3 linked regions of the Coturnix japonica genome follow. Each later gene encodes a partner of the first gene's protein in a complex. Links are inferred from orthologs where the notes say so. Each region holds a gene or a part of one and is shown in the gene's direction. Other genes may lie near its edges.

What was found.
Region 2: the proteins of MAPK8IP1 (region 1) and MAPK8 are in contact, whole or in part, in a crystal structure (PDB 3VUM), measured with the Homo sapiens proteins. The link is inferred for Coturnix japonica from reciprocal best matches to the Homo sapiens genes MAPK8IP1 and MAPK8. Residues at the interface, in NP_005447.1 of Homo sapiens: Arg157, Pro158, Lys159, Arg160, Pro161, Thr162, Thr163, Leu164, Asn165, Leu166; in NP_001310257.1 of Homo sapiens: Lys83, Asp112, Ala113, Gln117, Val118, Met121, Leu123, Glu126, Arg127, Tyr130, Tyr133, Val159, Lys160, Ser161, Asp162, His286, Val323, Trp324, Asp326, Glu329.
Region 3: the proteins of MAPK8IP1 (region 1) and MAPK10 are in contact, whole or in part, in a crystal structure (PDB 3PTG), measured with the Homo sapiens proteins. The link is inferred for Coturnix japonica from reciprocal best matches to the Homo sapiens genes MAPK8IP1 and MAPK10. Residues at the interface, in NP_005447.1 of Homo sapiens: Pro158, Lys159, Arg160, Pro161, Thr162, Thr163, Leu164, Asn165, Leu166; in NP_620448.1 of Homo sapiens: Asp150, Ala151, Gln155, Val156, Met159, Leu161, Glu164, Arg165, Tyr168, Leu169, Tyr171, Val197, Lys198, Ser199, Asp200, Cys201, Trp362, Asp364, Glu367.

The regions. Positions count from the first base shown.
Region 1 is NC_029520.1:21,393,959-21,397,478, reverse strand, and holds part of MAPK8IP1 (C-Jun-amino-terminal kinase-interacting protein 1), read left to right. Parts: intron 1-415; coding exon 416-649; intron 650-1,640; coding exon 1,641-1,751; intron 1,752-2,309; coding exon 2,310-2,391; intron 2,392-2,588; coding exon 2,589-3,464; intron 3,465-3,520. UniProt on the Homo sapiens protein: The JNK-interacting protein (JIP) group of scaffold proteins selectively mediates JNK signaling by aggregating specific components of the MAPK cascade to form a functional JNK signaling module. Required for JNK activation in response to excitotoxic stress.
Region 2 is NC_029521.1:15,712,386-15,715,905, forward strand, and holds part of MAPK8 (mitogen-activated protein kinase 8), read left to right. Parts: intron 1-248; coding exon 249-431; intron 432-1,958; coding exon 1,959-2,083; intron 2,084-3,094; coding exon 3,095-3,158; intron 3,159-3,520. UniProt on the Homo sapiens protein: Serine/threonine-protein kinase involved in various processes such as cell proliferation, differentiation, migration, transformation and programmed cell death.
Region 3 is NC_029519.1:40,883,405-40,886,924, reverse strand, and holds part of MAPK10 (mitogen-activated protein kinase 10), read left to right. Parts: intron 1-41; coding exon 42-166; intron 167-1,187; coding exon 1,188-1,251; intron 1,252-1,965; coding exon 1,966-2,043; intron 2,044-2,962; coding exon of another isoform or gene 2,963-2,967; coding exon 2,968-3,110; 3' UTR 3,111-3,520. UniProt on the Homo sapiens protein: Serine/threonine-protein kinase involved in various processes such as neuronal proliferation, differentiation, migration and programmed cell death.

The DNA.
Region 1 (3,520 bases):
ACCCATTAACATGGACCAACAGCAGCTGTAGTTTCCTTTTAGCTATTGAATCCTGAACGTAGCACTGCTCCTACAGCGTATGTTGCTCAAACTGTTTTGCTGTTCTGCATCCTTCTGGGACTTTCCTCCTCTGAGTTTTCCCAGTGATTCGGGATCATACCAGCAGCCTGGGCTGGCTGGCAGCAGCAGCCCACCTTAGCTAGGTATCACGGAGCCAGCCGGGGATCCCCCCCCTCCTTTTCCTATGCGTGTTTCCTTGTTAAAGCTCGAAGCGTCCGAGAAGAGGCGCGTCAGTGGGGGGGGGCTTGGAGGGAGAGCGGCGGGGAGCATCCCTGCGCCTTTAAAAGGCTGCGACCGGCCGCCCGGTCCCGTCCCGTCCCGCCCCGCCCGCTGACCGAGCCGCTGATCCCGGCAGGGCCGCGTGAGCCGGGCGGCCAGCGCGGCGCGGGCGGCGGGCGGCGGGGAGGGAGGCCGACTGCAGGCCGAGATGCTGCAGCTCGACCTCATCGACGCCGCCGGGGATGCGCCGGCTGAGGAGCAGACGGCGCCCGAGCCCCTGCAAAAGGAGCCGCCGCCCGCCAGCACCGACAGCTACCGGCCCAAGCGCCCCACCACGCTCAACCTCTTCCCGCAGGTGCCTCGCAGCCAGGTGAGCGCCGGCACGGGGGGATCTCGCGGCGCTGGGGGATTCTGTCGGGGATGGGTGCGTGGTCGGGGACGTGGAGGGATGCGGGGGGAGATGAGCTCGTTTCCTGCTGAGCCGAGCCCCTCCGAGCGTGGGGAGGCTTAAGGGTGGGCTGTGCCCGCCCCGGGCCCGTAGGGCCAGGGTAAGGGGACAGGGAGCGGGGAAGGGACCTTAGTGGGGACGGGGAGCTAATGAGGCGTGGCAGCCTGAACGCGTGAATGAGCCATCCGTCCCAGCGCCGCGTCCCAGATCTGGGGCTGCCAGCGCCGCAGCCGCAGCCTGGGACGGGCCGGTGACGCAGCCCTGTGCGTGCGCTCGGCTCTGGGACTGGGGCCCTTCTCCTGGGCGGCTACACCCGGCTAGGGGGGCATCGGTGTCAGCGCCCCGTGCAAAATCGCAGCGACAGTCGCATTACCCGAAATGGTGGTCAGGAGAATGGGGGTTTGTCTCGCTCACTCTCAGGGCTTGCAGGAGGTTTTGGATGGGGTGTTTTCCCAGATGCAGTAGTGGGGCTGTCCCCAGGAGAGTTACGCTGGAGTCCCTTGGCCCCATCTCTCCTGCAAACCTTGCAGACCTGCACAAGGTGTGCTGCACACAGGGCTATTTTTGCCTTCCTCCTGCTTTCAGCAGTGGCTTCTCTTGCCAAGTAGGAGGATTTTCATGGCAGTGACGTGCAGCTGAGGGGCTTGAAGCTAGAGGCAGGTGTCCCTGCGGGTGACAGATGGGGCGTAGTCGGAGCTAGGTGTCACCAGCCTGGAACCTGCAGCTGATGCCAGCTCTGCCTGAGGCCATGGGTGGGAGGAGGAGGAGGAGGGCACAGAGCCAGGACAATGGCTGCGGGGCAGCTGGCACCGGGGACAAAGGCAGCAGGGATGGGGAGGTGGGGGGTGGGGGGGAGCCTGCTGGAGCATAATGGACAAGGGGACAGCAGGCAGCCTTGTCCCACCCTGCGCAGGGACCCCGAGGAGCCGGTGGCACGTGGGAGCCACATCCAGCTGGGGGGACGGGGACGGCAAAGGCCCCCCCCGGGCAGCTGGTCCCAACCAGCGTCCAGACCTGCGGAGAGGTATTTTTGGGGTGTGTGGGTTGTATAGATGGTGGGCTGGGGAGGGGAGATGATGGTGTCCTTGCAGGGGATGGTGGAGGCTGTGGGACCACACTGGGATCCATGGGTGTGGTCTGTGCTGAGGACTTTGGGGACAGGAGCTTTCCCACACAGGTCTGATAAAGCTGGCAGCAGGAACATGGAGTGCCTGTGCTCCAGGACAGGGAATCCCATGGATCTTAGTGGGCATTAAGGCAGAGGGTTGCTTGCAGGAGAAAACCCCAAGAATCCCAAGCTTGATGCTTGAGCAAAAACTAGCAGCACAGAAAATGTGGCTGCTGCAGAGGGACAAAGACTTGTGCTGCCCCCAGAACCATCTGCAAAGTCTGGGAGCAAAGTGTGCACTGGTTGCACTTGAGAATGGTCACAGCGACCCTGAGGAAGTGCTTGGGTGGTCTCAGGCATTGCCCAGGGACCGTGATGGCTCTGGCTTCTGCACATCTCTGTGGGGCAGGCAGGGACAGGCGCCACGTGCTGTTTACTGCTGGAGTGACAAGGCGGCTTTGTTCTCCTCCCCAGGACACCCTGAATAACAACTCTCTGGGGAAAAAGCACAGTTGGCAAGAGCGGGTGTCCCGGTCATCGTCCCCTCTGAAGACGGGTGAGTTGTGGGGCTGGTAACTGAGAGCAGCCCCTTGCACTCTTTGGTAGCTCCTAGGAGTCAATCCTTGGCCCAGGGCTGGGGCCAAGCCTTGCCGAAACAGAGGGTTGGGAGACTGTCCCCAGTGGGCATGTGTCCAGCTTGAGTCTGGGGCATCCCTATCAGTGGGAGCACAAATACTGCTCTTCTCCTCACAGGTGAACAGACCCCTCCCCATGACCACGTTTGCCTGAGTGATGAGGTCAATCACCAAAACAGCACAACCTCCACCAAAGACCGGGGCACATCCACGGAGAGCCCATGCCGGCGCACGGCAGCCACCCAGATGGCACCCGCCTGCGTTGCCTCATCCCGGCCCCCCGAGAAGCACCAGGCTGCCAGCCGACCCCCACCCCACGGTGCCAGTGTGGTGGTGGTGACGTCGAGGGCTCCCGAGGCCCACCGGGACCGCATCCGCTACCAGACAGATGTGAGGCTGGAGGCCACTGAGGAGATCTACCTGACACCTGTGCAGAAGAACTCAGACCCGCTGGAGACCGAAAAGCCGTTCCTGTCACAGTCCAGTGAGAACCGTATGTCTATCAGCTCCGATATCGACACTTCCAGCTATTCAGCCCTGGCTGGGAAAACCAACCCCTCCATCAGTGAGGAGGATGAGGTGCTGGACTACATGTCCTCCCCTGACAAGACGAGCCTGCCCCGGGCCTCCTGCGGCGGTGGGAGCAGTGGCTACCGGCCAGGCCACGGCCTTCAGAGAGCATCCGTGAGCTCGGACACCAGTGCCCTCTCCTACGACTCGGTCAAGTACACGCTGGTGGTGGATGAGAACGTGCAGCTGGAGCTGGTCAGCCTCAAGCAGTGCTACTCGGGCTACAGTGATGAGAGTGACTCGGCTACTGTCTATGACAACTGCGTCTCCTCACCCTACGAGTCAGCCATCGGCGAGGAGTATGAGGAGGATGCGCTGAAGCGTGACTCGGTCTGCCTCTCTGAGGACTCCACCCCTGAGGCGGACATTCATTTCTCCAAGAAGTTCCTCAACGTCTTCATGAGTGGCCGGTCGCGTTCCTCCAGTGAGTGCTAGGCAGGGAGAGGATGTGGGCTGAGGGCTGCACCCCCTGGCAGCCTT
Region 2 (3,520 bases), on another chromosome or scaffold:
TTCCTCTGTTTTGCAGAAGTATATCCTTTGCCAGTTATTTCTTATTATTTCAAGTAAAATACATCTTGCTTTCAATACTCAGATGCAGTCTTGTGTTGCTTCTCTTTTTTCTCTATGAAGATACTCCTAATTAATGGTGAAGTTGAGATTGTGTGGTAATTTTCTGTTTTAATTTCTGTTGGTCATTTGTTTTAACATAACTGTTAGCTGAAAATTAGACACTGTTTTTCTTAGCTATGAAACCTTAGATATTGATCAATGGAATAAAGTTATAGAGCAGCTAGGAACACCGTGCCCCGAATTTATGAAGAAATTACAGCCCACAGTTCGAACTTACGTGGAGAACAGACCCAAGTATGCTGGATACAGCTTTGAGAAACTCTTTCCAGATGTCCTTTTCCCAGCTGATTCTGAACACAACAAACTTAAAGGTAAGGTCTGCCTTTTGTGTGCTGTATGTTTTTAAAGTTTTTAAACTGTGTCATACTGAATAGAAATGCATCTTGCTTTTGTTCAATATAAAATCCTCCTGTTAAGGATTTAAGTGTTAAAATATTTATGTAATGGGGGCAGATGGAAGTGCTAAGGTATGGTTACTGCCACTTCCTCATATTCTCTGGAATAGCTCCTATTCTTTAGATATCTGAATAAAGAAACAGGAGTGTATTTCTCACAATAACAGACGTGGGTTAGAGAAAAATGAGAGGAGAGGGGAGTGTAGATGTTTCATAGCCACAGTGGACCTTCTGTACTGCCAGCAGGTAAGGATGCCATGTCCAGGGTGGTGTATACTGAAACCCTGGTGGGAGACATCTGTCACTTGATGTGATCGTGGTAAGGCCTTTGTGTCAGGCCTATATATGAATACTTTGCCCATAGAAAAATAATTAAAAAAAATACAAACCTCAGCTATACCTTGAAACTCATAACATATTTTACGTATTATATCCTTTCGGATCATCACAACCAATGCTTTTCCTTCTTCAGCATTTATCTTTCAAGCACTTCAGAAATGTTCTCTCTCTCCTTCCAATCTGATGAACTATTATTACTTTGTACAATTACTTTCAATCTTCATAGTGATGACTTCAGCATTTAGCTGAATTTGAATATCCCTTTCTAAAAGGGAACTTAGCTAACTGAAAGAAAAGGTTGATGGAAGTTGCAGTGTTGCAGCTGGATGTTGCATAGAAATGACTTGATGGCTTTGTGGCATACTGTGTTTCCATCCAGATGATTTACTAGCCTTACATTGAAATGGCCACTTTAATTAATGGACACTCTATTTGTCTTCAGTGTATTTGTGTGGTTTTCCTTCTTTTTATTGCATTTTGTTTCTTGTCTGTGTTTGGCCAGTAAAGATTTTTCTCCTAGCTGGAGGTTATCCCTTCTCATATTTCAGCCAATCTTTGCTTAAGCAAAAATAATGGGTGCTTTCTTTTTCTACTCTGTTTTGCTGAGGAAGAAAAGAGAGATTAGAAAAAGATGTAGGAAGGAGGAGTTATTGGTTATGTCCATTTTTGCCCAGTCCTCTATTTTTAAAACGAAATCTTTTATAACTATTTTCTAGTCTTCTGTTAGTTTCCCAGCTCCTATTCTCAAATTACTATTTAAATTATTATTGTCCTGCTAACAAGCCTGATAAATAAGAAACATTCTGTGGTTGGTGTTCCCTTGCCTGCTTGTAGGACGATTGTGCACAGTTGCTGTAGAACTATCTTCCATGGAATGTTTTACTTTTTTTCTAAATACTACACAGTCATAAATTCTTTCCAAAACATTTATCTCTTTGTTTTCCTTCCTTCATCAAAAGCACCATTTTCTTAAACCTCAAAGTACATGAGGGTTGTATAAATAATAAAATGGAGTTTGTTATTTAAGCGTTCTTTCTTTATGAGCTTTGAAATACTGTTATGTGCATTTGGCACCTGTCTAAATAGAACGTTTCACTTTTGCAGCAAGTCAAGCAAGGGATTTGTTATCAAAAATGCTTGTAGTAGATCCAGACAAGAGAATTTCCGTTGATGAGGCCTTACGTCACCCTTATATTACTGTCTGGTATGATCCGTCAGAAGCCGAAGCTGTAAGTCCTTGTTTTTGGTCTCCAATGAGGAAGATCTTTTATCAAAGCAAACTTGTTTCGATTCTCTGTGTAACTGCTTCAGAGGAGGCTGCTTCGTGCTCTTCCAGTTTCGCTAGAAGCTTAATTGAACAGTAGTAATATTTTTTGACATGGTCGATATGTTTATTGGAATTAGTAATAGGAATGGGCACAGACTTGTAGGTAGCTGCAGTACTTGTGTATGTGGTTTATGTATAATTGCATGTAAATTCCTAGACATGGAGCAATGAATTTGAAGTCTCCGATATAGAGTTCTGATTTATTGAGTTGTAGTTGTTTCAACATGGTTTTTCTGCTTGTGATTGCATTCCACGTGTTTTCTCCTGGGCATTGTTACAGCAATTGATAGCACTCTTTAACTAGCAAATAATAAGCGTTTCGTCAAAATCTGATACAAGATCTCAAGCTTTGAATTACTGACACTGATGAAGGAAGAGATTAACTGAAAATCTTCCTTTAAAAAATAATTTCAGTCTATCTATCTATCTATCTATCTATCTATCTATCTATCTATCACAAAAAAAAAAAAAAAAAACCCCAAAAAAAAACCCAACTCTCATTTTTAAGAAAAAGCAAGCTGGTGATGGCCCACAAAGAATCAGGAAAGATGTTTGGTGTAAGTGGTACAATTAGAATTCTGCTGATCTATTATATCTAGAGAGAATATGAATAAGCAACTCTAAATAGGTCAAAAGGACTGCTTGAGACCACTGCAGTTTAAGAGCATTATTACCAGCCCTTTCAGTTTTTGTTTTAATTTTTACACTAACATTCACAAATGAGCTAACTAGAACAAGTTGAAAACACAAAGCAGCATCTAGAAAATGAACCGTGTATGAGAGATTATTTGATTATGTAAATACGGTATTTTTAAATCAGGTTCTTATTCTGAATATCTTATTTCCATTTTTCATTAATTGTGCTTGTCTGTCCCCTTTGACTGCTTTATCATGAGTTAGTTCTGTTTTCCAGCCTCCACCAAAGATACCAGATAAGCAGTTAGATGAGAGGGAGCACACAATAGAAGAATGGAAAGGTGAGAATGATCCTTTTGCATATCCTAAAGGTTTTTAATGTTGATGGGCTCCTAGGTTTACTGTTACTAAGATTCTGAGTAATGTAATAGTATATACTTAAACTGCTTGGAATGGCAAGGGAATAGATCAGTGCTTTACAACCTCTTGGTTGTCAGGACAGGAAACATTTTCTGTAAAGGTGAAGAGTCTTTGTAGGGAGATGAAGGTCACTCAGCTGTAGGCCTACTCATTTGAATTGCCTTTCATAAATGGTAAAGCAGCATTTTTAGAAAGGGAAACACTTCTGGACAAAAGTCGTATGGGTGAAAAGGGATGAATGAGTTGGAGCATGCAAGTCTGAACATTAGTGTGTTTAGCATTA
Region 3 (3,520 bases), on another chromosome or scaffold:
TTGGTGCCAATCACAGTGTTTTCATGCTGTCTGTTCTGCAGCCAGCCAAGCTCGGGACCTGCTGTCCAAAATGCTGGTCATTGATCCAGCCAAGCGCATATCAGTGGATGAGGCCCTGCAGCACCCATACATCAACGTCTGGTACGACCCCGCCGAGGTGGAGGCGGTGAGTGGGATGCAGCTCTGTGCTGCAGGCTGGAAAAACGTGGGGATGGTGCTTTATGACATAAATTCCTAAAATGATGGATGATGATGTATGGGCTCATGTGTGTTCCTGGGCTATGGGACATGAAATAGCATGCATAGGTAAAAACTCAGAGGTGTTTGAAAGCAGTGTATGGAAAGAGCACTCCATCTGCAGTGGAAGAAATCCAACTGATAGCAATGGGAAAATAAGGCCCCAATCCCTGCAGAACAACAACAAAATAACCACCAGTTTTTTACTGCATGAGTTTTTGCACAATACATGGCTCAGAGGTGCTCCGTAGGGAATGGCTTTGCCATCTACAGAACCTTTAACTCTGTGGGCTTATTTTCTTTAAAAAACAAAAAGTTTCATCAATCTAGAGTGCAGACTTAGAACTGCAGCCACTTCCATGGAACCTGACAGATGCATTAGTTTCACAAGAGCAAGGTCAAATATCTCACTAGTCTCATGTTTTGTTCCTTGTTTACGTTAACTATAGTCTATGTTCTATATGTGGCCCAAAAAAATTCCTCTTCACTCAGTACAGCCCAGGTGGACCCAAAGGTTGCTTACTCATGAGCTATGGTATTTAATACACAGCCTTAAAAATGTCAGTGCGAGTTATTCTGGACTGCTGTCTGTTTGGTGCTCTGATTGTCCTTTGCCTGTGCAAAAGTTCTGCATATGGGATTTATGGGCTTGGCACAAGCAGAATGATGGCAGCACTGACCAAATCCCATTGCAGCACAGTTCTGTAATTTGCAGATTTTGCAACACATTGCAGCCTCATGTTCTGAAGAGGATGAGGGAGAAGCACTGTCCATATTAAGAGCTGATTTCCAGAGATGTTAACACTTCTAATATTCATGTTTGGGTGTTTTGCACACATGGGATAATGAACAAAGAGGGAGAGGAAAATTTATCTTTACCTAAGTAAGTAGTGCTAATTATTTATGGTATAGTGAAAAATATATTGAACGATTTTGTTCCTCTTCTGCAGCCGCCCCCCCAGATCTATGACAAACAACTGGACGAGCGGGAGCACACCATTGAGGAGTGGAAAGGTGCGCACAGCTCAGAGTTAGGTGGAGAGGTCCCATCCCACGTGTGTCTGCGTAACTCCTCTGGCATCAAGAACCAAACCCAGCCCTAAGAACCGCTGCTTGATAGTGAAAATATTGCATAGGTCACTCTGAAAGCAATGCCTCGATTTGTTCCCTTGAAAACTACAACAGATACAACAACAACTCAAAACCTGCTGTTTTTCAATGTAGTCACCTTCATTACTTATGCATTTTCACAAGCAATGAGGCCAGCCTGCATGCTGCTTTTGTGAAAATCTGCATGGCCTTACTTTTGGAGCAGCCCTCACAGATACGAATATCCTGGGTACTGTCATTGTCAGCACAGATCAGCATTGAGAAGGGAGGTGCAGATTATGTTGTTTCATTGAAATGTTATCACCTAGAAAACGGGGTGCTGGTTTAACAGGAAGATACGCCATCATTTTTCATATAGCAAAGCTGTACTGCTCCATTTCTACTTAAAGCAGCGTGAAACAACGAATGTGTTCTAGCGTAGCCCTGTTTGTCTTAATACAGCTCCAAGAAGAGCTGTCAGTAGAGGAGAGGAATGGAAGAGAGAGGTTTTATGTGAGCAGAGCTGTCAGAACTTAGGAGGACAGGATAGGGTTGGACTATGGGGGGCATCAGAGGATTTTGTTGTTGCTGATGACCGGTACTGTTCTTGTTTGTAACTGTTGGAATTGTCTGTTCCAGAACTCATCTACAAAGAAGTAATGAATTCTGAAGAAAAAACGAAAAATGGCGTAGTAAAAGGACAGCCGTCTCCTTCAGGTACTCAGCCCCAGTGAATGGCGCAGTTGTGTCTCCTTTCTGTGTTGACAGAAAGAAAACAGAAACAGATAAAGCATTCAGGTGCACCAGAAGCTACGTAGACTAATTTCAGAGGTTTCAGGGCAATTCAGTGATTTAGTGGGTTGAGCTTTATTAATGGAACTGCAGTGCTATGTTAATGCTTGAAATGGGGTCTGCTTGGAATTTGGGACTGAGCTGCCCTGGTAACAGTGGTAAATAATATTTATGTTTATGATAGATGTTTACTTGTGTTACTGATAACTTCATGGAGGTTCATCATTTTGCAGAGTCAGAATGATTGTGAAGGTTAATGCTGTCATTTTACAGAGGACAAGTGAACTGTGATGCACAAAAATGCTGTCACAACCAAAATCCTGAACTTGGGCACCTGGTCCTTAACTAAGAGACAAAGCAGCTTTGTCTCCCCACTCCTGTGTCTGCATTGCCACCATATGATCTCATGCTAGCCCACATATTGGAGGGCTGCTGTGTTTGCATGGTTGGGTTTGCTTGTTAGTTTGCTCTTTGAGTCCTCATGCTGATAACCCACATAATCCCAGATGACATCTGATTGTTGGGTGTTGGTAACGCTGAGGAGACTGATAAGAAGTGTTAAGGAGTGACAAGGATGGGATGTTGAGCACAATAAGATGGCTTGATAAGAAACCGAGGGTTAGGATATGGCATGAACTGTACCCCTTTCAAAGAGACTGCTGAGGGAGAGATTTTCTGGGTAAAATATCTGACATTACCCAATGTCTGAAGCCGGTAGGGCCCATTTTCTGCTCATGTTGTTCAGAACGCTCTGAACATTGCCACAGGGTTGCATTCTCCTCTATTTGACCTGTGAGAGGTTCTGAGGTTTCGGGTTGAATCACGGTGGTGTTCATTTTCGTAGCACAGGTGCAGCAGTGAACAGCAGCGAGAGCCTCCCCCCATCCTCATCGGCCAATGACATCTCCTCCATGTCCACGGATCAGACGCTGGCGTCCGACACGGACAGCAGCCTGGAAGCGTCGGCGGGGCCACTGGGGTGCTGCAGGTGACTAGCCGCCTGCCTGCGGAACCCCGCCTTCTTCAGGGGGTGATAGCATCCAGAGGGAAAGCAACAGAGCTAAGGGACGGAGGGAAATAAAATGCACAGATTTAAACGAAACAAACAAATCTTTTCCGCCTGCTTCTCCTACAGAGCTATGTAATGCAGCTCAGCTCAAGTGTGTATGTAACTCATAGTTGCTCTGCTTTGGTCTTCTTCCAATGATGCTTTCTGGGGTGGGGGAGGAAAAGGATTCTTTAAATCCTTTTTGGTTTTTTTCCACCCTTACAAGATGCAAAATTAATGGCTGCAAAACCAGCGACCCACAGCTGTCCTCTCACGCTGGCATGACAAGGTGCGCAGTGCCACTTCACAACACACCAGTGCGGATCTGCCCTCACCCTGCTCTGTTGTCTCCTG